7 linked regions of the Macaca mulatta genome follow. The protein of the gene in region 7 interacts with the protein of the main gene of each other region in a pairwise test. Links are inferred from orthologs where the notes say so. Each region holds a gene or a part of one and is shown on either strand. Other genes may lie near its edges. The genes, in order: REG1B, KLHL12, TAC1, RNF126, SPP1, ATXN2 and BAG6.

The links.
Region 1: the proteins of BAG6 (region 7) and REG1B interact in a two-hybrid assay, tested with the Homo sapiens proteins (2 studies listed by BioGRID and IntAct). The link is inferred for Macaca mulatta from reciprocal best matches to the Homo sapiens genes BAG6 and REG1B.
Region 2: the proteins of BAG6 (region 7) and KLHL12 interact in binary tests that used the Homo sapiens proteins (3 or more experiments, as listed by UniProt). The two-hybrid records come from large-scale screens. The link is inferred for Macaca mulatta from reciprocal best matches to the Homo sapiens genes BAG6 and KLHL12.
Region 3: the proteins of BAG6 (region 7) and TAC1 interact in a two-hybrid assay, tested with the Homo sapiens proteins (2 studies listed by BioGRID and IntAct). The link is inferred for Macaca mulatta from reciprocal best matches to the Homo sapiens genes BAG6 and TAC1.
Region 4: the proteins of BAG6 (region 7) and RNF126 interact in binary tests that used the Homo sapiens proteins (3 or more experiments, as listed by UniProt). The link is inferred for Macaca mulatta from reciprocal best matches to the Homo sapiens genes BAG6 and RNF126.
Region 5: the proteins of BAG6 (region 7) and SPP1 interact in binary tests that used the Homo sapiens proteins (3 or more experiments, as listed by UniProt). The link is inferred for Macaca mulatta from reciprocal best matches to the Homo sapiens genes BAG6 and SPP1.
Region 6: the proteins of BAG6 (region 7) and ATXN2 interact in binary tests that used the Homo sapiens proteins (3 or more experiments, as listed by UniProt). The link is inferred for Macaca mulatta from reciprocal best matches to the Homo sapiens genes BAG6 and ATXN2.

What each region holds. Positions count from the first base shown.
Region 1 is NC_133418.1:45,548,946-45,553,206, reverse strand, and holds REG1B (lithostathine-1-beta precursor), read right to left. Parts: upstream 2,801-4,261; 5' UTR 2,748-2,800; coding exon 2,684-2,747; intron 2,082-2,683; coding exon 1,963-2,081; intron 1,656-1,962; coding exon 1,518-1,655; intron 725-1,517; coding exon 613-724; intron 405-612; coding exon 337-404; 3' UTR 147-336; downstream 1-146. UniProt on the Homo sapiens protein: Might act as an inhibitor of spontaneous calcium carbonate precipitation. May be associated with neuronal sprouting in brain, and with brain and pancreas regeneration.
Region 2 is NC_133406.1:60,591,088-60,595,064, forward strand, and holds the start of KLHL12 (kelch-like protein 12), read right to left. Parts: upstream 2,801-3,977; 5' UTR 2,696-2,800; exon of another isoform or gene 2,668-2,695; intron 839-2,667; exon of another isoform or gene 802-838; coding exon of another isoform or gene 757-801; coding exon 562-756; intron 1-561. UniProt on the Homo sapiens protein: Substrate-specific adapter of a BCR (BTB-CUL3-RBX1) E3 ubiquitin ligase complex that acts as a negative regulator of Wnt signaling pathway and ER-Golgi transport.
Region 3 is NC_133408.1:121,646,605-121,650,875, forward strand, and holds the start of TAC1 (protachykinin-1 precursor), read right to left. Parts: upstream 2,801-4,271; 5' UTR 2,575-2,800; intron 2,167-2,574; 5' UTR 2,158-2,166; coding exon 2,035-2,157; intron 1,054-2,034; coding exon 957-1,053; intron 536-956; coding exon 491-535; intron 1-490. UniProt on the Homo sapiens protein: Tachykinins are active peptides which excite neurons, evoke behavioral responses, are potent vasodilators and secretagogues, and contract (directly or indirectly) many smooth muscles.
Region 4 is NC_133424.1:1,305,434-1,308,152, reverse strand, and holds part of RNF126 (E3 ubiquitin-protein ligase RNF126), read left to right. Parts: intron 1-463; coding exon 464-527; intron 528-968; coding exon 969-1,213; intron 1,214-2,719. UniProt on the Homo sapiens protein: E3 ubiquitin-protein ligase that mediates ubiquitination oF target proteins. Depending on the associated E2 ligase, mediates 'Lys-27'-, 'Lys-29'-, 'Lys-48'- and/or 'Lys-63'-linked polyubiquitination of substrates.
Region 5 is NC_133410.1:97,302,919-97,305,357, reverse strand, and holds part of SPP1 (osteopontin precursor), read right to left. Parts: intron 1,110-2,439; coding exon 1,029-1,109; intron 763-1,028; coding exon 721-762; intron 241-720; exon of another isoform or gene 1-240. UniProt on the Homo sapiens protein: Major non-collagenous bone protein that binds tightly to hydroxyapatite. Appears to form an integral part of the mineralized matrix. Probably important to cell-matrix interaction.
Region 6 is NC_133416.1:118,688,554-118,692,053, forward strand, and holds part of ATXN2 (ataxin-2), read right to left. Parts: intron 2,399-3,500; coding exon 2,094-2,398; intron 132-2,093; coding exon 68-131; intron 1-67. UniProt on the Homo sapiens protein: Involved in EGFR trafficking, acting as negative regulator of endocytic EGFR internalization at the plasma membrane.
Region 7 is NC_133409.1:150,681,240-150,683,538, forward strand, and holds part of BAG6 (large proline-rich protein BAG6), read left to right. Parts: intron 1-101; coding exon 102-393; intron 394-559; coding exon 560-729; intron 730-912; coding exon 913-966; intron 967-1,072; coding exon 1,073-1,175; intron 1,176-1,266; coding exon 1,267-1,391; intron 1,392-1,556; coding exon 1,557-1,703; intron 1,704-2,103; coding exon 2,104-2,163; intron 2,164-2,299. UniProt on the Homo sapiens protein: ATP-independent molecular chaperone preventing the aggregation of misfolded and hydrophobic patches-containing proteins.

The sequences.
Region 1 (4,261 bases), on a different chromosome or scaffold from region 7:
CATGTTCATAAGCCCGACATACATAAAATGTGAGTGGGGTTTTAACAAGCGGATGGGCCGGGGCAAGCTCTGGAGTGTGACAATCATTCCCACCCCAACCACCCAAGCATGGGCTGTAGAAAGAGCAAATGCAGAAGACAGAACAATGGAGAAAAATATGTTTGTTTTTATTTTTCAGGGCTCTACAGACTGGGATGGGTAAAGGTACTGAAGATCAGCAATGCAAACTCATTAGGAAGGAGATGGTCTGAATGGAGTTGGAGAAATAGTCTAGTTTAATTTTTGACTTTGTAGTAATTGCAGGAGTGGTTCTAGACATCCATTTTTCAGCTGCCTCTAGTTTTTGAACTTGCAAACAAAGGAGAACTTCTTCTCACAAGATTCATCCTTCCATTTCTTGAATCCTATAGAATAATGAGAAGAGTCAGACAGAGAGGATCAGAAGGAGGGTAGCCCCTCCTCGATCTAGGACTCAGAACAAAAAACAAGAGGAAATATTCCTTTATTTTCCAGATAAAGAGCTCACCTTTCCTCTATCCCAGTTCCCATGTTCATCCCCAGAGAAAAACGGGAGGGAAATAACAACAGATGGATAGATTGTCTGCCTCTCACCTGAGCATGAAGTCAGGCTTGCACAGTAGCCAGCATTAGCACTGCTTGGGGCTCCAATGTCCCAGGATTTGTAGGAGACCAGGGACCCACTGCTCCAGTGCCAGCGGCGGTTCTAGGTGGAGAAGGGTCAGAACAGGGGCCATGGTCACTCAAAAATCAATAGAATAACCAGGCCTGTGTGCACACTCAGAAACAGGCCAAGATATAGCAGAAAGAATAATCATTGTTGTCACCATGAATGTCGTATTATTTCCTCTGCTTTTGCTCCTTCTCTGGAATGTCCAAATTCCTCCTCCTCTTCCAGCAAATAGTAAGTGTTCAGAGTTTGATACAGAGACCCATAAAAGCCCATTACAGAGAGTGGTTCTGATCTTTTTTCCTGAAGCTCAGAACTCTCATATACAACATAACATTGGCTGTAGAGTAGTTGTTGATATATTGTTTAGTTTAACACTTATAGTGTTAAACTAAACACTTACAGTGTTAAACTAAATAATATATCAACAACTACTGTACAGTTTTATACATTTGTATAAAATGTATAACAAATGCCAGCAGTAGATTTCTCCTCCACTACTCTTTTCCTATACAGTCTACAGAGGGACCTCTTCCAAGACAGACAATAGCAAAATAGGGAAGAAGTTGTACATAAAGATGCATTTCCAAAAGTTGACACAATGAGTGTGTGCATGAATTCCCAGGAGCCCAGAAAATTCAGCCTTCAGCTCATGTCTCTAACTACCTACACTGAACTTCACAACTCATACATTATAGGATCTATAAAGAGGTTTCTTTTGTTTAGAAAAACAAAAAGATAAAAGTTGGCGCTCGAGGTGCCAGACCTTAAACATCCCTCTTACCTCTCAAAAATGTTTATAAGGAGATAGAGGAGGCTGCAGACTGACCTTTTTGGGGTCATGGAGGCCAATCCAGACATTGCTGTCATCAGTGCTACTCTCCTTAATCAGTGAGGCCACGAAGGCACCCTCTGCCTCGGTGAGCACAGATACCAGGTTGCCTGAATTCATGTTCTGGCAGTAGAGCTGTAGGTGAAGAAAATGGAGCACTCAGTGGAGGAGGAAGGTGTGAAGGATCTACTGAGATCTTCCAGAGGATGTAACAGAAAAAGGACAGCACAGAAATGTCCCTGGTGACGCTGTCACTGACCACCAGTATCTCTGTGCTAGGAATGTGTTAAATAATGGGATAAAGTAGATTGGGAAGTTTTGGACCAGTGGTGGAATAGGGAAGGGATCAATCTTATCTCATTGCAGCCACAGAACACACTGCAAATTAGCAGCTGCCACTACCTTCATGAGCCTCCCTTCCCCTGCTGCTGTCCTCACTCACATCTGCATCAACCCAGGTCTCAGGGTCTTCATTAAAGTAGTAGCAGTAGGAGCGATAGGCATTGGTGCCTTCTGGGCAGCTGATTCGGGCATTAGGCAGCTCTGTCTGGGTCTCCTGGCCTGAGGGAAAAAAAGAGGTAATTAAGAAAGACTCTCAGGGCAAGGAAAAGGCTGGAAGGTGAATTAGGGGCTTTTCAGTTTCCGTTATAAGAACATACTGATACAGTGTGTACTGGAGTGACTCCTTACTTCTGCTCCCTGCATCCTATCTCTTTTTTTTTTTTCTAGTTTCCTCTGCTCAAGACAAGAGCTTGTAATGAATAGGCTAAAGAAATGTGTCCTCGTTTTCCCTTTTATTTCTGAGGCTCAGGCTTCTGCCTTTAAAGACCCAGTCTTCCACCTTTCTCAAGTTTCTCTTGATTTCCCTGTACATGTTTGCCTTAGCTCTCCATCCTATTAATGACTACATAAAAACATCCAACTGCCATCACATATAGATTCAATTAGATAAACTCAACCACAATGGTCACCTATAAGTGGTCTTATTAAATTCTGTCTCAAACTCATGAATGAAATGAGGATGTTTTTGAATGGGATGAGATCAGCCATAATGATCAACCTCTGATGTTGACTCTGCTTTTTTTCAAGTGAACCCTATGCATGAGGATGGAGGGAAGACTTCAGAGCTGGGGTTGTGGGAGGTCTGGGGGAAAAAATCTCACCTTGGCTCAGAGACAGGAACATCAGGCAGGAGATCAGCATGAAGCATGAGTTGGTCTGAGCCATGCTGAGCAGCAGTGAATCTCTTGCTTAAGGAGCAAATCAGCAATCTCTGTAGGAGAACACAGGGAAGAGGGTTTGAAGAAGAGAGCAGAGCCCCTATTATCTTTCTAACATCCTCTCCTCTTGGAATTCCTGTGACCAGGAAGGTCCACTGAGATAGCTACACTCGCAGATATTTCTCTTTTGGTTTGGGGATAACAGAGGCCAAATTACCCAAAATCAGCTTTGGTTTTGCTTAAGCTTCATTACTACCGGGATCTTTTATTCAGAAAATCACCCTGTATCTACCTCAAAATGAAGAGAAAATCCCATGTTAGACATGCTCTTCTCCTGTAATGCCCCCTTACCTGTTGGTAAGTGCCTTGTCCACTTGAGGTGGCTTGTCAGGTCAGACAGAGTAGGAGCTTTATATCAGGGTCTGAGAGAAAACCACATGATATAAACAGTGGGTGGAGCAAGGAGTAAGGGTCAGAAGGCCTACAAAGGGCACTAACAGTAAGAGATTCTGGCATCAGGAATAGCTTATTACTGGCACACATTAGGAGTGGTCACAAATGATATCAACTTACCATAAACAGGTTAGTAAACTGTCCAAGTTGATGTTGGGCTTTGTCCTTCCCCCACAGCATCCACGTGTCCAGTTCCCATGGCCTTTAGCCATCCTAGAAAGAGCAGAAGGGTAGATTTCTTTGTGCTATGTAAATATGGGATGATCCTTTCTTTGGTTTAGATGTGGGTAGGGGTAGGGGAAGAGTCAATTGAGTGCAAATGATTAAGCCCAATTAGCTGGTGGCTTTAAGTCATTTCTCCATTCCCTTTCAGGCTCAGGAAGCTCTCAAACCTACTTCAGAAGGCAAAGTGTATTAGTCCATTTTCACACTGCTATACTGCCAGAGACTGGGTAACTTAAAAAGGAAAGAGGTTTAATTGACTCACTGTTTAATTGACTCACAGACTTTCCTGAGGCTGAGGAGACCTCAGGAAACTTACAGTCATAGAGACGAAGGGGAAGTAAAGCATGTCTTACATGGTGGCAGGTGAGCAAGAGAGAGTGAAGAGGGAAGAACCCTTTATAAAACCATCAGATCTTGTGAGAATGGACTCACTATTGTGAGAACAGCATGGGGGAAACTACTCCTGTGATCCAATTGCCTCCCACTAGGTTCCTCCATCCACGCATGGGGATTATGAGGATTACAATTTGAGATGAGATTTGGGTGGGGACACAGAGCCACACCATATCACAAGGTTTAGTAGTTATGTAAATTTAAACCAGCATTTCCAGCAAGGTTTGAGTATAAGTAGCTAGCAGGCTACAGATGTTCTCAAAGTCCAAGCAGGTGGGAACTACAGGGAGGTGATGCCTAAGTAAGCTCAAAGTAGTGGAATATGAAGTTGTTGGTTTGAAGTCAATCATCTGTTGTTGTGAAGTTACAGATAGTGATGGAAATTAAACACTTACTGAAATTCCCATTAAAAATCCATTCAGATTCAGGGAGCAACAGCAAATCTGGAAT
Region 2 (3,977 bases), on a different chromosome or scaffold from region 7:
CTCCTCATCCCTCTGGTACTCACTTAAAAATTTTTAGACTTTAGAAGGAGAAAAGGCCAGGTGCAGTGGCTCACACCTGTAATGCCAGATGTGGCCACTCTGGGAGGCCAAGGTGGGAGGATTGCTTGAGCCCAGGAGTTCAAGACCAGCCTGGGCAACACAGTGAGACCCTGTCTCTACAAATAAATACATAAATAAATAAAATTAAAAACAAAAAAAGGAGAAAAATTGGAAAACAAATTTAAGAAATAGTAAAATCCAATAGCTGACATTTGTGTTTTACTGCATATTAAACTACTCTAAGCATTTTGTACGTTATTTCATAAAATAATCTTCACAATAACCTTAATAACCAGTTATTACATATTACTGTTATTCCTAACTTAAAGATGAGGAAACTAAAGCATAGTCATCTAAGTGGTAGATCTTATCCAGAATCTGCCAAAACATCACACTGTAAAAATTCACAATTATATCAAAGTTCTACTATTTTATTCAGTGAAATAAGACAACTAGAGTACCACGGGAGTTTCATTTGTGTGGGGCTAACTTATCACTTACCTCACTAGTGAACATGGCACAGAAGTAATCACTACAGGCAGCCAGCACAATCCGATGGGCAGGGAAATCCTTCTGCTCTACTCTCAATGTCACATCACAGAGGGTATTGCTCTTCCTGAGGGAGTTCATTGAATTGAGGATGGATTTAGCATGAGTATTTGTCATTATGTCTTTGGGGGCCATAATGCCTCCCATAAAGCAGTGCGGAGAAAAAACAAAATGGGTCCTTGGATTCTGAAGCTACAAGAGAAAAAAAACAATGAGCATATTCAAAGAACTAGGGAAACTGAACATATTTAATTAGTTTTACAAATTAAGAACCTAAGAGGCTTCCCTCAGACCCAAACAGACACAAGTTGAGGGCACTCCTATGCCTGGCATCACCACCACTATCTAGCCACTATCTAGTACATGTAAAAGTTCTCTCTTCTTTCTCTGAATTCCTCTACCACGGAGTGTCCCTACCACTTGACATTTATTATGATCAATGCTGAAACGTAAGTAGAGATAAACAATATATGTCCTGTAAATCTTCACAAGGTTCTTGTCTCAAATGACAAATTGAAAATATACAATTTCTTAAAGGTGTTATATCATTACTATTTAATATCCTTAAGTAGATAAGTATTTAGAGGCTGAGGATCCTGCTTTATATGTATGCTTTCTATCCTAGAAGTTGCACAATGAATGTTTACAATTTAATGTAAGAATAAGTGTGTATTCAACTTCAACTTAGAGAGAGAAAGGCCAGTCAGTAAAAATAAACTTTTTTCTAAAGAAGTAGCCAAATAATTATGTCTGATGACTTTCAGCTATATCTGGATTTCTTCTTAAAATGAAACTTCAGGCCAGGCCCAGTAGCTCACGCCTGTAATCCCAGCACTTTAGGAGGCTGAAATGGGTGGATCAGTTGAGGTCAGGAGTTTGACACCAGCCTGGCCAACATGGTGAAACCTAGCCTCCACTAAAAATACAAAAAATAGCCAGGTGTGGTGACGCGCGCCTGTAATCCTAGCTACCAAGGAGGCTGAGGCACGAGAATCGCTTGAACCCAGGAGGTGGAGGTTGAATTGAGATGAGATCACACCACCGCACTCCAGCCTGGCAATAGGGCGAGACTCTGTCTCAAAAAAAAAAAAAAAAAAAGAAAGAAAGAAACTTCAATTGACCTATTACCCTAACTGAATAGTGGAAACCACGCAAGTTACCGATGGACTTACACTTGCTTAAGATATTGAAGCTCCTCAACAAGAGGGTATTCCTACTCTATATCTGTAAATGTCCATTACTGGTTAACGAATCAATATTGGAATCCAAAACTTTCTGAAACGATCCGGCGGGGCGGGGGTAGGGGGACGGCAGGAAATAAAACTGTGGTCTCCAGAAGTTCGCAACTCACAAGTAATTTTTCAACAGGAAAAATGAGATCCTAAATTCTCATCTACTTCTGTTTATAGTTGGCATTTTACTCTATAAGCACTATAGATAATCCCTCCAACAACTGCATGACCCATTTTGCAGAAAAGGGGGTGATTCATCAAAGCATATGTTTTTCAAAAAGACTTAAGTCAACTTAGTTTCAACTCTAGGGGTGCAAAAAGAGTCTGGAACAAACGTCCATTTACAGTGAAGACAGCCTGGGGGGTGTTTTATCGTTTCCGTGCCAAAATGACAGTACCCCTAGTGCAGAGTGGCCTTCCTTCTAGGGGATTCCTGCCTCAACACTCCAAGTCTCAGCATATCCTTCACCCTCACCCTTCTGAAGTGACCTATTTTCTAGAACTTCCGTTAACATCTGAATAGAGGGATTCCACTTCGGGAGATTCGGGGCAGGAATGGGGTAGTAAATTCCGGAAAGACTACATTCTAGAGAAGGAAACGAACTCCTTCCTTCTGATACCACCAGGCATATGACCGGCGCCGCCAGATGGAGGTATCGCAGGGGGGCAATTCAGGGGAGAGTTGAGAGGGCGACTGAGGCCAGATGCCCCGCCCCCCCGCCAGCCTTCCTCCTCTCTCCGGCATGTCTCCCATTCCGCCTTACAGGGAGACCAAGGATGGGGGGTAGGGCCATAACCCGGAGTTGACGGACAGGAAGGGAAGGGCTGACTGCCATCACTTCCGCGCAACTCACCTCCGCTCCCGAGCCCACACAGCAGCGCCGGGCCCGTCCCCAGCCTGTGGGGATGGAGTGGGGCGCGGGGCCAGCAGGCGGCTCAGGAAGAGCCGAAGAGCCGCCGCCGCCGCCCCCACCCGGAGGCTCTGGAGGCTCTGGAGCCGTCCAGGTCTGGTCCCTGCGGCCGCGCGACGTGATGACGCAATGCAGCTGGAGCACCGCCCTCCTCCCGCTCGAGTCTGCGTCACGTGAAGAGGTGGTGTCACGTGACCTGCCTGTACCCTGGTGCCGGGCCTCTGCACGTTGCTAGGAAGCCGAATTAGAAAAAGGTCTGGTGGGCAGGGCATGGTGGCTCACGCCTGTAATCCCGGCACTTTGGCAGGCCGAGGCGAGCGAATTACCTGAGCTCCGGAGTTCCACACCCGCCTGGGGAACACGGCAAAACCCCGTTTCTAAAAAAAAAAAAAAAAAAAAAAAATTAGCCCGGCGTGGTGGCCCCGACTGTAGTCCCAGCTACTCGGGAGGCTGAGGCAGGAGGATCACTTGAGCTAGGCGCAGAGGTTGCAGTAAGCCAGAGTCGCCACTGCAGAGACCCTGTTGAAAAAAAAAAAAAAAAAAGTCCGGGCGTGGTGGCTCACGCCTATAATCCCTGCACTTTGGGAGGCCAAGGCGGGTGTATTACTTGAGGTCAGGAATTTGAGACCAGCCTGGCCAACATGGTGAAACCCCATCTGTACTAAAAATACAAAAAACATTAGCCGGGCGTTGTCGCACGCGTCTGTAATCCCAGCTACTCAGGAGGCTAAGGCAGGAGAATCGCTAGAACCCAGGAGGCGGAGGTTGTAGTGAGCCGAGATCGCGCCACTGCACTCAAGCCTGGGCGACCGACTGAAACGCCGTCTCCAAAAAAAAAAAAAAAAGAAAAAAACAAAAAAGGCCGGATGTTGTGGGGTCCGGCAGGGAGCCTGGGAATGTATCTACAGCTCAGCGACTGTCTGAGCCTGAGTTCCTCCCTACTGCTCACGAGGCAGGGCACACAGAGAGAATTCCAACGCTTAATATGCCAAGCATCTGATTGCAGCAAGTATGTTTTACCTTCCAGGTACTGAGAAACTTTTTGACATCGAGAAAACCCACAGAGGCCTCAAATTTTTTCACGTCCATTGTCCACAATGGCCTTTTCGTGCCGAACAACGCTGCGGCGATAATCCTCTGAGCCCTGCGACCCACAGACCTCAGTATATACTCTGCATCATAATGGTCCCTGTCATCACCGCTGAATTGATTCTAAGGAAATTCT
Region 3 (4,271 bases), on a different chromosome or scaffold from region 7:
ACACATATACATTTGTTTTTAAAGATGCTACATTATATCTTTTATAAAATAATTTGATTATCAAAATATGTAACATTTTCTATCTATATATTATCCTGAGGAATAAGGCAGAACCATAAATGCTAAACAACTTATTAATAATAAAAACTAAATATTTAAACAAACAAATGGAATTTTTATTAAGTGCCTTCTATGGGATTCAAACCTAGGACTATGAGACTTTTGAGACCTCTTATTGACTATAAGACTGTAGTATTTCCCACCTTCAAGACTGGCCACCCATTGAGAGAGAGAGAGAAAGAGAGAGAGAGTGACAGCGAGAGAGTGACAGCAAGGGAGTGACAGAGAGATCGAGAGAGAGTATGCAAATACATCTCTTTATTAAACAGGCATCATCTAGATCTTGTATTTCAGCCCATAAAAGATTTTATTTCACTTTCCTACATGTGCTTTACAAAATAGTAAAATAAAGATTTATAGGAATCTTTACCATAAAGAGCCTTTAACAGGGCCACTTGTTTTTCAATTGAGGAATCTGACAAGAGACGAATTGTCATTACATGTTCCACTGACGGTGCGATAAATTCAAGGAAACAATATTTCTATCCCAAGACAAATCTACTCTCATGTCAGGGAATGCTACAAAATCCTGTTCCACATGCACTTGAATCAACCGCAGTACTACCCCTGGAGGCCCGTGTCTTCCCTTTGTCAGTTTGGATCTTTAGTCAAGGGAGCGCTTCACTCGAACACAGTGAGGCATGCGAACCAGATCTTTCCCTCCCCCTGCGGGCCCGTGCGCGCCTTAGTGCGGTGTGGGCCAATGTCGCGCCTGGGTTACACCCCTGTTGGAGTGGAAATCTTTATTCAGAGCGAGAGACCCTGGGGTACTCCGAGAAGGAGAGAGCAGACAGGACGGGCTGCCCAAGACACCTAGGGACGGTCGCCCATCTCACCAGCATCCCGTTTGCCCATTAATCCAAAGAACTGCTGAGGCTTGGGTCTCCGGGCGATTCTCTGCAGAAGATGCTCAAAGGGCTCAGGCAGTTCCTCCTGGGGGGCAAAAGCACGGACAAAGGGCGTGTAAGGCAACCGGAGCGAGGCACCCAGCAACCCGAGCCCTTCCCGCTGTACTCCGGCCCCGAGGCGGGCGGAGGCAGCCTTCCCCACGCTCGGGCTGAGCGGGGTACCTCCCGAGGCGCTCCCTCTCTGCGCCCCTCCTCGCCGAACCCGCGTCCCGTCCCCCGCAAGCCTGCCAGGGCGAGTTAGCAGCTGGCTCGGCGTCTTCAAGCCTCGAGCGCTTTCCGTTCTTTCCTCCCAGCCCGGGGACCTTCCCTCATCTGCCGCGCCGCCACCTGACTTTGTCTTGTCTCGGTGTCGGCTTTGTAGACTCCTCACCACCCTAAATGCACACAGGTGTGTGTGATCTGGGGCTGGGGCTGCGGTGGGAAAGGGTGACAACGTTTTATAGACGACTTTCACCCTTTTCCCGAGGCGCGCTCCCCAGCGCCAGTAGCCTACGAGTTTCTAAAGGGAAACTTCAAGCTACATCCTCAGGTCCGCAAAACAAACGTGAAGGCAGGAAATTAACTTCCCTCCAGCCTCCGGCCCTCCAATCCCCCTGCAGCTCACGCGTGTGCCCGCTGCTGCCCGCGACCAAGGCGCCCTCTGCCCGTGCCCAGACGCTAGGGCAGTGCAGCTGGACCGGAGCCCCCGAAATCCCCATTCCTGAGGGATGAAAGCTTACGAGATTTATGATCTTGTGGGGATCTCGGGCTCATCCGGGAGGGCATCCCTGCTGCAGGGAGTTCCTGGGCTGGACGGTGCAGCCCTCGGGAAGAAACTTGAATCGTGGGCACAAAATCCCGTGAGGAACCCGGGAAATAGCGCCCCTTTCCATCCTCCCGCACGCATCCGCTGCCTCTCGTCGTGGTCGCGGTGCCTGCCACGTTAACTAGGGTGCTGCTGCGTGGGAAGGTGACAGCTCCCGAGCCCAGGAAGAAGGGTGCGGGCTGTCCTGGGAAGGGGCCTCACCTTGATCTGGTCGCTGTCGGACCAGTCGGACCAGTAATTCAGATCGTCATTGGCTCCTATTTCTTCTGCAAACAGCTGAGTGGAGACGAGAAAAAAGACTGCCAAGGCCACGAGGATTTTCATGTTGAATTTCTGGGAAGGGGTAGTGGGAGAAGAGACCAAAGAGAGAAATAATATATCTATTAGGGGTGGTTATCCAAGAGTTAGAGCAACAGAATTTTCTGCCCCACAACGGATGAACTAAGATCAAAAATACAAGGACTAAAGTCTCACCTGCACCCGTTAGGCGAGAGAATCGCGTCCCAAAGATTCTCCAACCCTCTTCTCCCTGAATCCCAACTCCCTCAGCCCTCTAACCCACCAACCCACACCTTCAAACCAGGAAACTCTGCAGGTGGAAGACAAAGAGGGGCGTTGGCGTTTGGGAAGCCAGTCTCCCCACTGTCCCTCGCCGCAGCGGCGCGCCCAGCGCGGCCACCTCGGACAGATGCGGGGTGGAGTGACCCGGGCAGCCGCGGCCGGCACTGCGCGGGTACTTACTGCGACTGACAGTCCCGCGGGGTGCTGGGTTCCTCTGGTTCCTCCGAGTGCACGCTGGTCGCTCCGCACTCTCGGTGGCTGCGGGAAGGAGGAGGTCCGAGCGCGCTCTTTCGCCTGCTGAGTGCCTTGCGGTATTTATCCCAGCCTCCTCGAGCCTCCAAACCCACGTGACATTCTCCCCACGCGACTTTCTGCTCAATATTTAATTAGCCGCCTCCTCTCCTTTCGCTTGCGTGATTGAGAGTTTCCGAGACGGTAACTCGTCGATGCCCATAACATCTGGACCCAATTGGGTTCTAAATGACGCAATTTTAGGAAAATCGAGGTCTCGCCATCCAATCGGGAGCGGCCTGCTTCCGTCTGCAGATCTGACGCCCCCTCCCCTCTCCTTTGAAACTGGGTTTCATGACACCTGAGATTACTCATCAAATTTGAGCAAAGTGACTCATTCCTTGGACTTCGGTAACTTTTTCGTCCCTTGAGACGTCAGGATAAGTTGCACTTTTGAGGATGGCCAAGTAACTGTAGGCATTCAGACATTTCATCGGAAATCAGGCTAAGAAAGGAGGACTTCAGTTGAGGGGAGATGCAGGGAGGCATTCTTTTCCCCTCTATTTCTAGCTTAAGAGTATTTAAGTGTTTCTGAGACACAGCATCTTTCTATGACCAGAACATCCCTCTCCTAAATCAATGAGAATACTGGCATTTCCTTAGCATTACAAAAGGTTGTTTAGTCCCATAGTATTTTAGAAGATGGAAGCACATTTATTTTACATTTTGGAGAAAGGGGAATTTAAACATGACATTGTGTGTCAGACTTAGGATTTCTTTTGTTTCAAGCTGGGTAACTCCTCTTCCTTGTCACATCCAGGAGCAGGGGTTGAAACAGGACTTTTTTTGCTTCTCTCCTACACTTTCTTGCTGAAGACTAGGAAACCAGCAACATAATGTATAGGATCCTCACCCTTGTCACTAAAGGGCTCTATAAATCATGTTTCTCCTTTCTATGAAAATAAGTGTAGTGAAGATGCTAATGGGACAGTCATTAACGCACAAAATATTAGACAAATAGCATTTGTACACAAACCACAGCTTTCCATGAGCCCTTGGTTGCCTGGCAGACACATTTCTTTGATCTCTAAATGAATGCGGCATCTTTGGTGGAGTAGTTTTCTTCCCTTTACATATAAAGTGTTACATTTTTCAGTTAATTATGATTTGTTAGTATATTGTATAAAAGAAACACATTTTTGCAACTTAAACCAGAAATTTTTTCCTCTATGTTGTTCTTAAATAACCCTGGATTTGGAAATTCTCATGCATTTCTGATTTCTTTTGACCTTAGCCTCACAATGTGAGCATTTTATTTTCTGTTTTCAGAACTTTTATATGGAAAATTATCAGCATCTCCAAAAGTAGAGAGGTACATCCACTTCCAGGTTTCATCTACAACCCTTCCAGTTTCCTCTGCACTCAAATTATTTTGAAAAAAAATCCCAGACATTTAGTCATTTCAACTGTAAATATTTCAGCATCACTGTATAAAAGGTAAGCATTTAAAAAAATAAAAACATAACCATACCATTTTCCCACCTAAAACAACATAAAATAATTCCTTACCTTAAATATCCAGTTAGCATTCAAATATTTCTCATTGCCTCCTAATTCCTCCCCACGCAGTTTACTAGTTGAAATCA
Region 4 (2,719 bases), on a different chromosome or scaffold from region 7:
GGTGGGGGCTGTGCTGGCGTCCAACCCCCCGGGTGTGTGGCTGGCAGGCCCTGGCGTCCGTGGCTCTGGGAGCCCTTTCCTCTGTGCGGGCAGCAGCGTGCCATTCCCTTCTGTGAGGGCCGGGCCGGAGGGGAGTGCTGGCGACCTGTGCAGCCGCTGACCTCCCTCAGCCTTGGCGACTGATCTGGTGACCCAGGCCCTCCGGGGAAGGGGCCACGGGGGCCCCACCCACATCCTCACGCTCAGGAGGTTGTTGGTGTCTGCACTGGTTTCCAGAGAAACCTGTGGTTTACTGGCGAGGGAAGAAGCGGCAGGTTATGGTACCAAATGCAGGGGCGGTGGCAGGTGGGAAGCAGTGCTGAGGACAGTGCCACTCTCCCAACACAGGCTTTTGAGGGGAGGGAGCGCCTGGCGCATGGGGACACGGGGCAGCCAGTGCTGCTGACACTCACTGTCTTCCCAGGAGCACAGAAAATGGTTCTGCCCCCTCCACAGCCCCCACGGACCAGAGCCGGCCACCACTGGAGGTGAGTCGCCCACCCCTCGTGCTTCCTGATCCTGTCGGCCTTGCTCAGGGCCCCGAGCACCAGCCTGTCCCCACCTTGCCTCCCTGGGCTCTCCCTGCCCGTACGGCAGAGGACATCCATCCCTCCAGGGGCCCGGGCTGGGTTTGGGGTGGCCCACGCTGCTCAGTTGGGGCTGATGAAAGTGAGACTTCGTCAAGGCGGCTCACACCAGCCAGGCAGGCTCTGCCCAATTCCCGCCTCCCTCCCACCCAGCACCCAGCAGGGCCCGTCTTGCTTTCTCTTTTGTCTTTGTGCCCTAGTGCCCCCAGCAGACTGCACCGGCCTGAGCCCCGAGGTCACGCCCCCTCCTCTCCCCTGCACCGGCCTGAGCCCTGAGGTCACGCCCCCTCCTCTCCCCTGCACCGGCCTGAGCCCCGAGGTCACGCCCCCTCCTCTCCTCAGCACGTGGATCAGCACCTGTTCACGCTGCCGCAGGGCTACGGACAGTTTGCTTTCGGCATCTTCGATGACAGCTTCGAGATCCCTACGTTCCCTCCTGGGGCTCAGGCTGATGAAGGCAGGGACCCTGAGAGCCGGCGGGAGAGAGACCATCCGTCCCGGCACCGGTATGGCGCCCGGCAGCCCCGCGCCCGCCTCACCACGCGGCGGGCCACCGGCCGGCACGAAGGCGTCCCCACGCTGGAAGGGTGAGGGGGCCCCGGGGGTGGCCGCGAGGGCCCCACGCCGTGAGGTCGGAAGTTCTGGTGCTTAGAATTCAGCAGCACGTGTTCCACGGAAGTGTGGCGTCATCCGAAGGCTCTCTGGAGAGGCCGCCCGGCCAGGTGCTCCAGCCCCGTGACCCCCACACTCTCTGAGAGCCTCGGTCTGTGACCCACTGGGAGTGGGGGCCCCACACAGCCCTTCAGAGACAGAAGTGTGCTGGTCCAGGGCGTGTGCATTGACCACAGAGCGGGGCGCAGCGCGCCTGCCAGGCCCACGTACTTTGGGGACTGCTGTTCACATGCGTATCATCAAACACCGTCCTGCCCTTGGGCCTGGACCAGAGCCTGGGCGAGCCTTCACTGGGCCCCCCTGCTGGTGGAGCAGAGCCCGGGCCTCCCCTCTCCTGGCGATTGATCCTTCTATGGTTGTGTGTCTCACCTGCTGGAAATATCATCGTTAAAAGTGGCTGATTTTGCCGCACGGTGGCTCAGCGCTGTAGTCCCAGTGCTCTGGGAGGCCGAGGAGGAAGGATCCTTGAGGACAGGAGTTTAAGATCAGCCTGAGCAACATAGGGAGGTCCCGTCTCTAATTTTAAAAAACTAGGCCAGGCGCGGTGGCTCAAGCCTGTAATCCCAGCACTTTGGGAGGCCGAGACGGGCGGATCACAAGGTCAGGAGATCGAGACCATCCTGGGTAACACGGTGAAACCCCGTCTCTACTAAAAATACAAAAAAAACTAGCCGGGCGAGGTGGCGGCGCCTGTAGTTCCAGCTACTCAGGAGGCTGAGGCAGGGGAATGGCGTGAACCCGGGAGGCGGAGCTTGCAGTGAGCTGAGATCCGGCCACTGCACTCCAGCCTGGGCAACAGAGCGAGACTCCGTCTCAAAAGAAAAAAAAAAAACTAGTCAAGGCCGGGCGTGGTGTCTCACACCTGTAAGCCCAGCACTTTGGGAGGCTGAGCAGGCAGATCACTGAGGTCAGGAGTTTGAGACCAGTCTGATCAATATGATGAAACTCCATCTCTACTAAGAATACAAAAATTAGCCGGGTGCAGTGGCGCATGCCTGTAATCTCAGCTACTCAGGAGGCTGAGACAGGAGAATCACTTGAACGCGGGAGGCAGAGGTTGTAATGAGCCAAAATTGCGCCCCTGCCCTCCAGCCTGGGCAACAAGAGCAAAACTCCATCTTAAAAAAAAAAAAAAAAAGAGCTGAGAGTGGTGGAGCTCTCCTGTGGACCCAGCTGCTTGGGAGGCTGAGGCAGGAGGATCACCTAAGCCCAGCAGGTCGGGGCTGCAGTAAGCCAAGATCGAGCCTCTGCTCTCTTGCCTGAGCATCAGAATGAGACCCTGGTTCATAGTAAAGTAAACAAATAGAAGCTAATTTAGAAGTTAATGCTGGTCCTGCCCTTGGTGCTTACCACGGACCTGGGCAGGCCTGGCGCCTCCCAGTGCGTGGGGCGGCCTCACCCCATGACTGGCCCCCTCTGTT
Region 5 (2,439 bases), on a different chromosome or scaffold from region 7:
TTACTAAATTCAATGATGTAATAGATACAGACACATAATTATGAGACTTTTTAAAATTTGAAATGAGATTTATCAAAAGAGAAGAGTATCCCTATTTTAATGTGTGTACTAAAATCTATAACCCCTTTCCTATTAGCATGAATAATTGAAAGGTGACTGTTATGCATGTGTGTATAAACTGCAGCTCAAAACTGTCCTTGAATTAAACAATTAATGTCCATTAAATTTCAGATTGACAAATATATTGGGTAATTTAACTTGATTTAATATTCTTAGTATATTCAAATTGAATCTTAAGGAAAATAAATTTACTCTTTGCTTAGCAAATATATGAATGATCCTAATAAAAAGAATAGTTGTCAAATAAACTATTTTATTAGGAAAGAGAACTTTCCTAAAGGCAAAATCTTAGCTTTGATAGGCATTAATTAGATGCTTATTAGATATTTGATATCTACAAAATACCTTAAATAAATTGCAATCAGCTTAATGTTTCAAATAACAGGCATTAATGAACATTTTCTGTAATGCTAAACATATCTGAGGAAACCTAGTATTTCTGATATTTAGTAAATACATGTTTTCTTTCTGAGCAAGTTTTAAAGACTGCCAATTTACTGGAAAATTAGCTAATGAAATTTCATCAGAAGAGAATCCAGGCAATGGCTTCTTTCGTTTCTTCAAGGTATGATGGGCCTCTGATTGAAAATGAGAACTTACCTCTTGTTTAAAGTCATTGGTTTCTTCGGAAGACACAGCATTCTGAAGAAGGAATGGCACATGTTAGTGTGCATCACACATGCCTAGCTTTTTTATTCAAAAGTTAACCTTTTTAATCCAAAGCAGTTTTTATTTTTCTGCCTCATCTGTGGATGGCTTAACACGGGAAGAAGCCAACATGGCAGATCAGTCAATGTCCTAAGCACATGCTTGCCAGCGGGCAGGCAGGATTCATCTGAGCAGCCCAAATGGCCTGCTTGTAGCTATCTTTCATCGTTGTAGTTTAATTATGAGAAGTTTAAAAATACCTGTGGGGCTAGGAGATTCTGCTTCTGAGATGGGTCAGGCTTTAACCATGTGGCCACAGCATCTGGGTATTTGTTGTAAAGCTATAAAAAAGTTGCATGTTTATCATTATTAAAAAAAGAAACGTAGGGATGAATGGAAAAAACAACCATTCTTCACCAGTCTTGATGGATAAGCATAATATGCATGCATATAGTCACTCAGACCCTTAGGTACCTTTTTGTAATTTTTTTTTTCTTGCAGATTCATTTAATACACTCTTATGTAGCACTTAGTGTGGGCTAGGCACTCTTTCAAATTGCTTTACAAATATGAACTCATTTGATCCTCTCATTCCCCTATGAGATGGGTATCATTAATATTCCCACCTTACAATCAGCCACAATGCAGTTAAGTGGTAGGAAATGACAGAGCCAGGCAGGATTCAAACGCAGGCAAACTAGCTCTTAACCCTGAACTTCACACTATGCTTTCTTTTTGTATGTTTGCTGGCTGAATTTTCCTCTCAGATAAAGCACATCTAAACCAGACGTGCCTTTAATTACTGTTGATCTTCACTGTGTCCAGTCCATGGAACAAGAAGGAACTCTCTAAGGCTGTGCTGTCTAATACAGTATACTCTAACCACATGGGGCTATTTACATTTAAGTTAATTAAAATGAAATGGCCGGGCACAGTGGCTCACGCCTGAAATCTTGGGAGGCTGAGGCAGGCAGATCATGAGGTCAGGAGATCGAGACCATCCTGGCTAACACAGTGAAACCCCCTTTCTACTAAAAATACCAAAAAAAAAAAAAAAAAAAAAATTAGCCGGGCATGGTGGCCGGCACCTGTAGTCTCAACTACTCGGGAGGCTGAGGCAGGAGAATGGCGTAAACCCAGGTGGCAGATCTTGCAGTGAGCCGAGATCGTGCCACTGCACTCCAGCCTGGGCGACAGAGCGAGACTCCATCTCAAAAGAAAAAAAAACGAAGAAATAAGATAAAAATTCAGTTCCTCAGTTGCACTAGGCTACATTTTGAGTACTCCATAGCCATATGTATCTGGCAGCTATCTTACCAGACAATGCAGAAATATAATATTAAAATCATTGCACAAAAGTTCTATAGCTCTAAGGTGCCAAAGATGTAAATGAAATGGATTTTTCTTTAGCCAAGTTATTTATCTGGAAAATACTGATAATATGCTACTGCAGAGGAGTGGAAATTGCTCTGTGTAAGTGTCATCTGATCTGCTGAATCATTCAGGGCCAATCATTACATGTCCCTGTCATTCAGAATAACTCTGGGGGTTGTACAGAGTCCCTTCTGCAGCCACCTAAGGGGTGGATGGGTAGAGAGAAAACCAGTCAGAAGTATTAGAGTTTCTCTCATGGCTGGCTCTAACCAGAGGGGCTTCATACTGGGCTTCTCT
Region 6 (3,500 bases), on a different chromosome or scaffold from region 7:
TGGAAGAAGGACTACTAATTTTTCTTTTTAGGGGACTAAATAACCTCAAAGAAAGTAATAAACCTACCTGAGAGAAGGAACGTGGGTTGAACTCCTTTGCATTAGGATTCAATGTTGATTTCCTAACTTGCCTAAAAAAAAAAAAAAGGCCAGTGAAATCTACATGGACTTTATGTTGTTCTAAAATCTTCCATACCTGACAATTTAAAAAAAACTGCTAGGCCGGGCGCGGTGGCTCAAGCCTGTAATCCCAGCACTTTGGGAGGCCGAGACGGGCGGATCACAAGGTCAGGAGATTGAGGCCATCCTGGCTAACATGGTGAAACCCCGTCTCTACTAAAAATACAAAAAACTAGCCGAGCGTGGTGGTGGCGCCTGTAGTCCCAGCTACTCGGGAGGCTGAGGCAGGAGAATGGCGTGAACCCGGGAGCCAGAGCTTGCAGTGAGCCGAGATCGCACCACTGCACTCCAACCTGGGCGACAGGGCGAGACTCCGTCTCAAGAAAAAAAAAGAAACACTGCTAAACATAGATTTAAACTGTTCTCACTAGAAGATCACTAATCCTCTTTATTGAAACATACGCACTTATATTGCCAATTCCTTAATCCCTTAAAGAATATAGTCATAAAAGAACAATTTTTTAAAAATCTGAGTAATATACAACTGCTCCTCTCAAAGGCAATCAAAAAATACTTTATTTTCTCCTTCAGAGTCCCACTCTGTTGCTCAGGCTGGAGCGCAGCAGTGCAATCTTGGCTCACTGTAACCTCTGCCTCCCCAGTTCAAGCAATTCACCTACCTGAGTCTCCTGAGTAGCTGAGATTACAGGCGACTGCCACCACACCCAGCTAATTTTTTTTTTTTTTTTTTTTTTTTTCCCCAGTAGAGATGGGGTTTCACCATCTTGGCCAGGCTGACCTTAAGTGATCTGCCTGAGTCAGCCTCCCAAAGTGCTGGGATTACAGGCGTGAGCCACCACGCCTGGCCAATCAACAAACACTTGAGCTGAAAAGACAGTAGCTACTTATAAAATATCCTTAAAAGCACTTCTTAACATACCAGTATTCTTTTATTATTATTACTTTTTGAGACAGAGTCTCGCTCTGTCACCCAGGCTGGAGTGCAGTGGCATGATCTCGGCTCACTGCAGCCTCCACCTTCCGGGTTCAAGCAATTCTCCTGCCTCAGCCTCCTGAGTAGCTGGGATTATAGGCACCTACCACCATGACTGGCTAATTTTTGTATTTTTAGTAGAGACAGGGTTTCACCATGTTGGCCAGGCTGGTCTTCAACTCCTAACCTCAAGTAATCTACCTGCTTCGGCCTCCCAGAGTGCTGGGATTATAGGTGTGAGCCACCAGTCAACATACCAATATTCTAGCATGAAGTAATTTTTATGTGAGAAGATATTATCTACATAACATACCTGCAGAAAATCATGGCTCTAAAAAAAATTTGCCTCAAATCAAGAATAAGCAGTCCCCAATTTATCAATAAGCTACATTCCAAAACTTTAGCTTTAACTGGATTGTTTGGTACCCAGAACACCTAAGTCAATGGTAGTTAAGTTCTGAGGTTAGCCCCTGAAAGTCCATTTAACAAATATATGGAATGTGCAGAATTAAGTCTATTTTAACAAATCTAAACATTAACTAAAACACTGTTTCTGATGAAAAATATTTTGAATTCCAAGTAGAAGCATCGCATGCTTCTCTCCTTGACAGTGGCAGTTTTTCATCCTAGCAGCACAGTGAGGGTGACTAATGAGTGGAATCCAGTAAAGATAGGTCTCCTGAACTGATAATTTTTCAACTCCTGTTCATTTACAGAAAAACTTTTCTTAATTTATGCCTTGTTTTTCTAGCCCTGGGGTGCAAAAAAGGGGAAGAACAAGAGTAGCACAGGGTGCAATAACCTAATTTACTTAAGATGTCATTTGTTTGGACTAGCTGTTTGTAAACTAAGGGCAATGTATGAAGCAGTCTAAAAGTCCAGATGGATTCTTCACAGTTGGAAGGACCTAAATGCCTTTAAAAAAAAAAAAAAAAAATTAACTGAGTAACAGGATGGTCTAAGTTCCAGGTTTACTCACTCAGCTGCGTCTTTCTTCTCTTCCTTATCATCTTTCTCTTGTTTACATGCTGGACTGGAAGTCTGAACCCCTTGGGAAGTGACCTCAGGTCCCCTCTTGTGCTCCGTGTTACTAAGTATTGAAGGGGAAATGCTGGGGCTATTCGGCTTGCTGCTGCCACTGGTACAGTTGCTGCTGCTATTTTCAGTGAAAGAATCCTTAGCACTTGGTTCAATTTTGTCTTTGATCAAATCTCTTGATTTTTCTGCCTCTCTATTTTTGTTTAGTAGTTGATCCATAGATTCAGAAGTAGAACTTGGCTGTAACTAAATAAAGGAAACAATTATACTTAAATATCTTAAATAACTTTAGTAATCCATTTTTGCCATGAGCACAAGCAAAGTAATATTAACTATATGCATGAAATGTTTTGAATAAGGCTTTTTTCATACTTTAAGAGTAATGCTTTTACTATAAAGTAACAATAACAGAATACCTATATAGCACAACCACAGTTACCAAAGCACTCAAATGTCTTAGCCTCTAAAGTTCAATATTTACTGAATGCCTACCACATGTCAGAAATTGTGCTTGCTGGGTGAGAAAAATATGAAAAAATTTCTATCCTCCTATACTTGTCATCTAAATAAGATCAGACACTTCACAACAAAATGAGTAAATGCTAAGAGATTCTATAGAAAAAACAACCTATAAAAAAGAAAGGTTTCTTAATGGAAGTTTCAGCTAGTCTAAGGTGTGAAAGAAGTTTAGGAGAGGTGTTTGGGATGGAGAATAGTCTAAGTAAAAGGAGGAATATGTTTAAAAATCCAAAGAAAAGAGAGAAGATGGCTCTATCACATAAAAGAATAGCACCAATGGGGGCTGGGCGCAGTGGCTCATGCCTGTAATCCCAGCACTTTGGGAGGCTGAGGCAGGCAGATCACGAGGTCAGGAGATCGAGACCATCCTGGCTAACACGGTGAAACCCCGTCTCTACTAAAAATACAAAAATTAGCCGGGCATGGCGGCGGACGCCTGTAGTCCCAGCTATTCGGGAGGCTGAGGTAGGAGAATGGTGTGAGCATGGGAGGCAGAGCTTGCAGTGAGCCGAGATCACGCCACTGCACTCCAGACTGGGTGACAGAACGAGACTCCGTCTCGGAAAAAAAAAAAAAAAGTAAAAGGATAGCACCAATGACCCAGGCACAGTGGCTCATCACTGTAATTCCAGCACTTTGGGAGGCTGAGGCAAGCAGACTGCTTGAGCTCAGGAGTTCAAGACCAGCCTGAGCAACATAGTGATACCCTGTTCTCATTAAAAAATAATAATGATAATAAAATAAAATAAATAACAAAAATAAAGAAGTAAAGCAAAGCACCAATGGCTGGACCAAGGGTGGGACACACATGTACAAGTGAGTCAGAAAA
Region 7 (2,299 bases):
CTTCCCAGACCCATATGTTTGTGCCCTCTTGATGCCGTATTATTTCCCTATCTGCATTCTCACCTCAACCTTCTGTTCTTTGTTCCTTTTCTATTTGCCAGGCAACACAGACAGCCCCTCCACCACCCCCACCTCCTCCACCCCCACAACCTGCCCCAGAGCAGCAGACCATGCCCCCACCAAGCTCCCCTTCTGGTGGGGCAGGGAGTCCTGGAGGCCTGGGCCTTGAGAGCCTATCACCGGAGTTTTTTACCTCAGTGGTGCAGGGTGTGCTGAGCTCCCTGCTGGGCTCCTTGGGGGCTCGGGCTGGCAGCAGTGAAAGTATTGCTGCCTTCATACAACGCCTCAGTGGATCCAGCAACATCTTTGAGCCTGGAGCTGATGGGGCCCTTGGTGAGCAAAAGGGGGTGCTTTGGCTTGCTCCAGGAAGGGGCAGCCAGAGGAAGGTAGATGGCCTTGGTTTAGGGGTGTTGCCAAGGTGGGATGAGGTTGACACCTGGTTGTGGGTGGGCAAGCCAGGTGGTAAAGGCGATTGCTAACATCTGCCCCTGTCCTCCAGGATTCTTTGGGGCCCTGCTCTCTCTTCTGTGCCAGAACTTCTCTATGGTGGACGTAGTGATGCTTCTCCATGGGCATTTTCAGCCACTACAACGGCTGCAACCCCAGCTGCGATCCTTCTTCCACCAACACTACCTGGGTGGTCAGGAGCCCACCCCCAGTAACATCCGGGTAAATGAAGGCCAGGGGCCCCAGAGCTCTCCTCCTTTGCACATTTTATTCCTTGTTTCTGACTGCTTCTCTGCCAGGTAAAGCTCCAATTGCCCCCACACAAGCCCTGGACTTGTTGGGGTCAAGGTGGAAGTCTTGGGAGGACCGAGGCTTTGAACTAAACCTGTTCTGTTTCCTCCGCAGATGGCAACCCACACATTGATCACGGGTCTAGAAGAGTATGTGCGGGAGAGTTTTGTGAGTAACCCTTCTCTATTCCCCTCCTCTCCTGGGTCTGGTCAAGGCAGCTGCCTCCTCCGTTCCCAGTCTTACGATTCCTGTTTTTGTGTATCTTGTCTCTCAGTCCTTGGTGCAGGTTCAGCCAGGTGTGGACATCATCCGGACAAACCTGGAATTTCTCCAAGAGCAGTTTAATAGCATTGCTGCTCATGTGCTGCATTGCACAGGTCAGTGGCTGGCCAGGCTGGGGCAAGTGGGGCCTGTTGGATGTGCAGGGCTGCCATGTGCCAGCATTCCCTCATTGTGTTTTGCCCACAGATAGTGGATTTGGGGCCCGGTTGCTGGAGTTGTGTAACCAAGGCCTGTTTGAATGCCTGGCCCTGAACCTGCATTGCTTGGGGGGACAGCAGATGGAGCTTGCTGCTGTTATCAATGGCCGAATTGTAAGCACCACCTAGCCCCAGGTCCTTAGCCTTTTGTTTCCTGAGGTTTCCATTCGCTGCAGTTTTCATTTTTGTTTTCTAAACTGATGTTCTATACCCCAGATCTAATATATTAGGAAAGGTGGTTGAGGGTTTTATGTTCTAAATCTGCTTTCTGCCCCTCAGCGTCGTATGTCTCGCGGGGTGAATCCCTCCTTGGTGAGCTGGCTGACCACTATGATGGGACTGAGGCTTCAGGTGGTACTGGAGCACATGCCCGTAGGTCCTGATGCCATTCTCAGATACGTTCGCAGGGTTGGTGATCCCCCCCAGGTAAGGGACCTGTTGGGCAGTGGGGTCAGGGTACTTGAGAGAACTGGAGAGATCTGAGAGGAAATATGTTGTTGTTTTTTTTTATTGAGACAGAGTCTAGCTCTGTTGCCCAGGCTGGAGTGCAGTGGCACGATCTCGGCTCACTGCAAGCTCCACCTCCCGGGTTCACGCCATTCTCCTGCCTCAGCCTCCCGAGTAGCTGGGACTACAGGCGTCCACCACCTCGTCCGGTTAATTTTTTTTTTTTTTATTTTTAGTAGAGATGGGGTTTCATCGTGTTAGCCAGGATGGTCTCGATCTCCTGACCTCGTGATCCGCCCGCCTCGGCCTCCCAAAGTGCTGGGATTACAGGCGTGAGCCACCGTGCCCAGCCAAAATATGTTGTTCTTTAATTTCACAGCCTCTTCCTGAGGAGCCAATGGAAGTTCAGGGAGCAGAAAGAGCTTCCCCTGAGCCTCAGGTACTCGGGAGAGGGGGAGGTTGAGGGGCCAGATAATGTGGAGTGGAGGGCTGGGGGAGAAAGGTTTGGAGGTGGCCGGCGCGGTGGCTCAAGCCTGTAATCCCAGCACTTTGGGAGGCCGAGACGGGCAGATCAC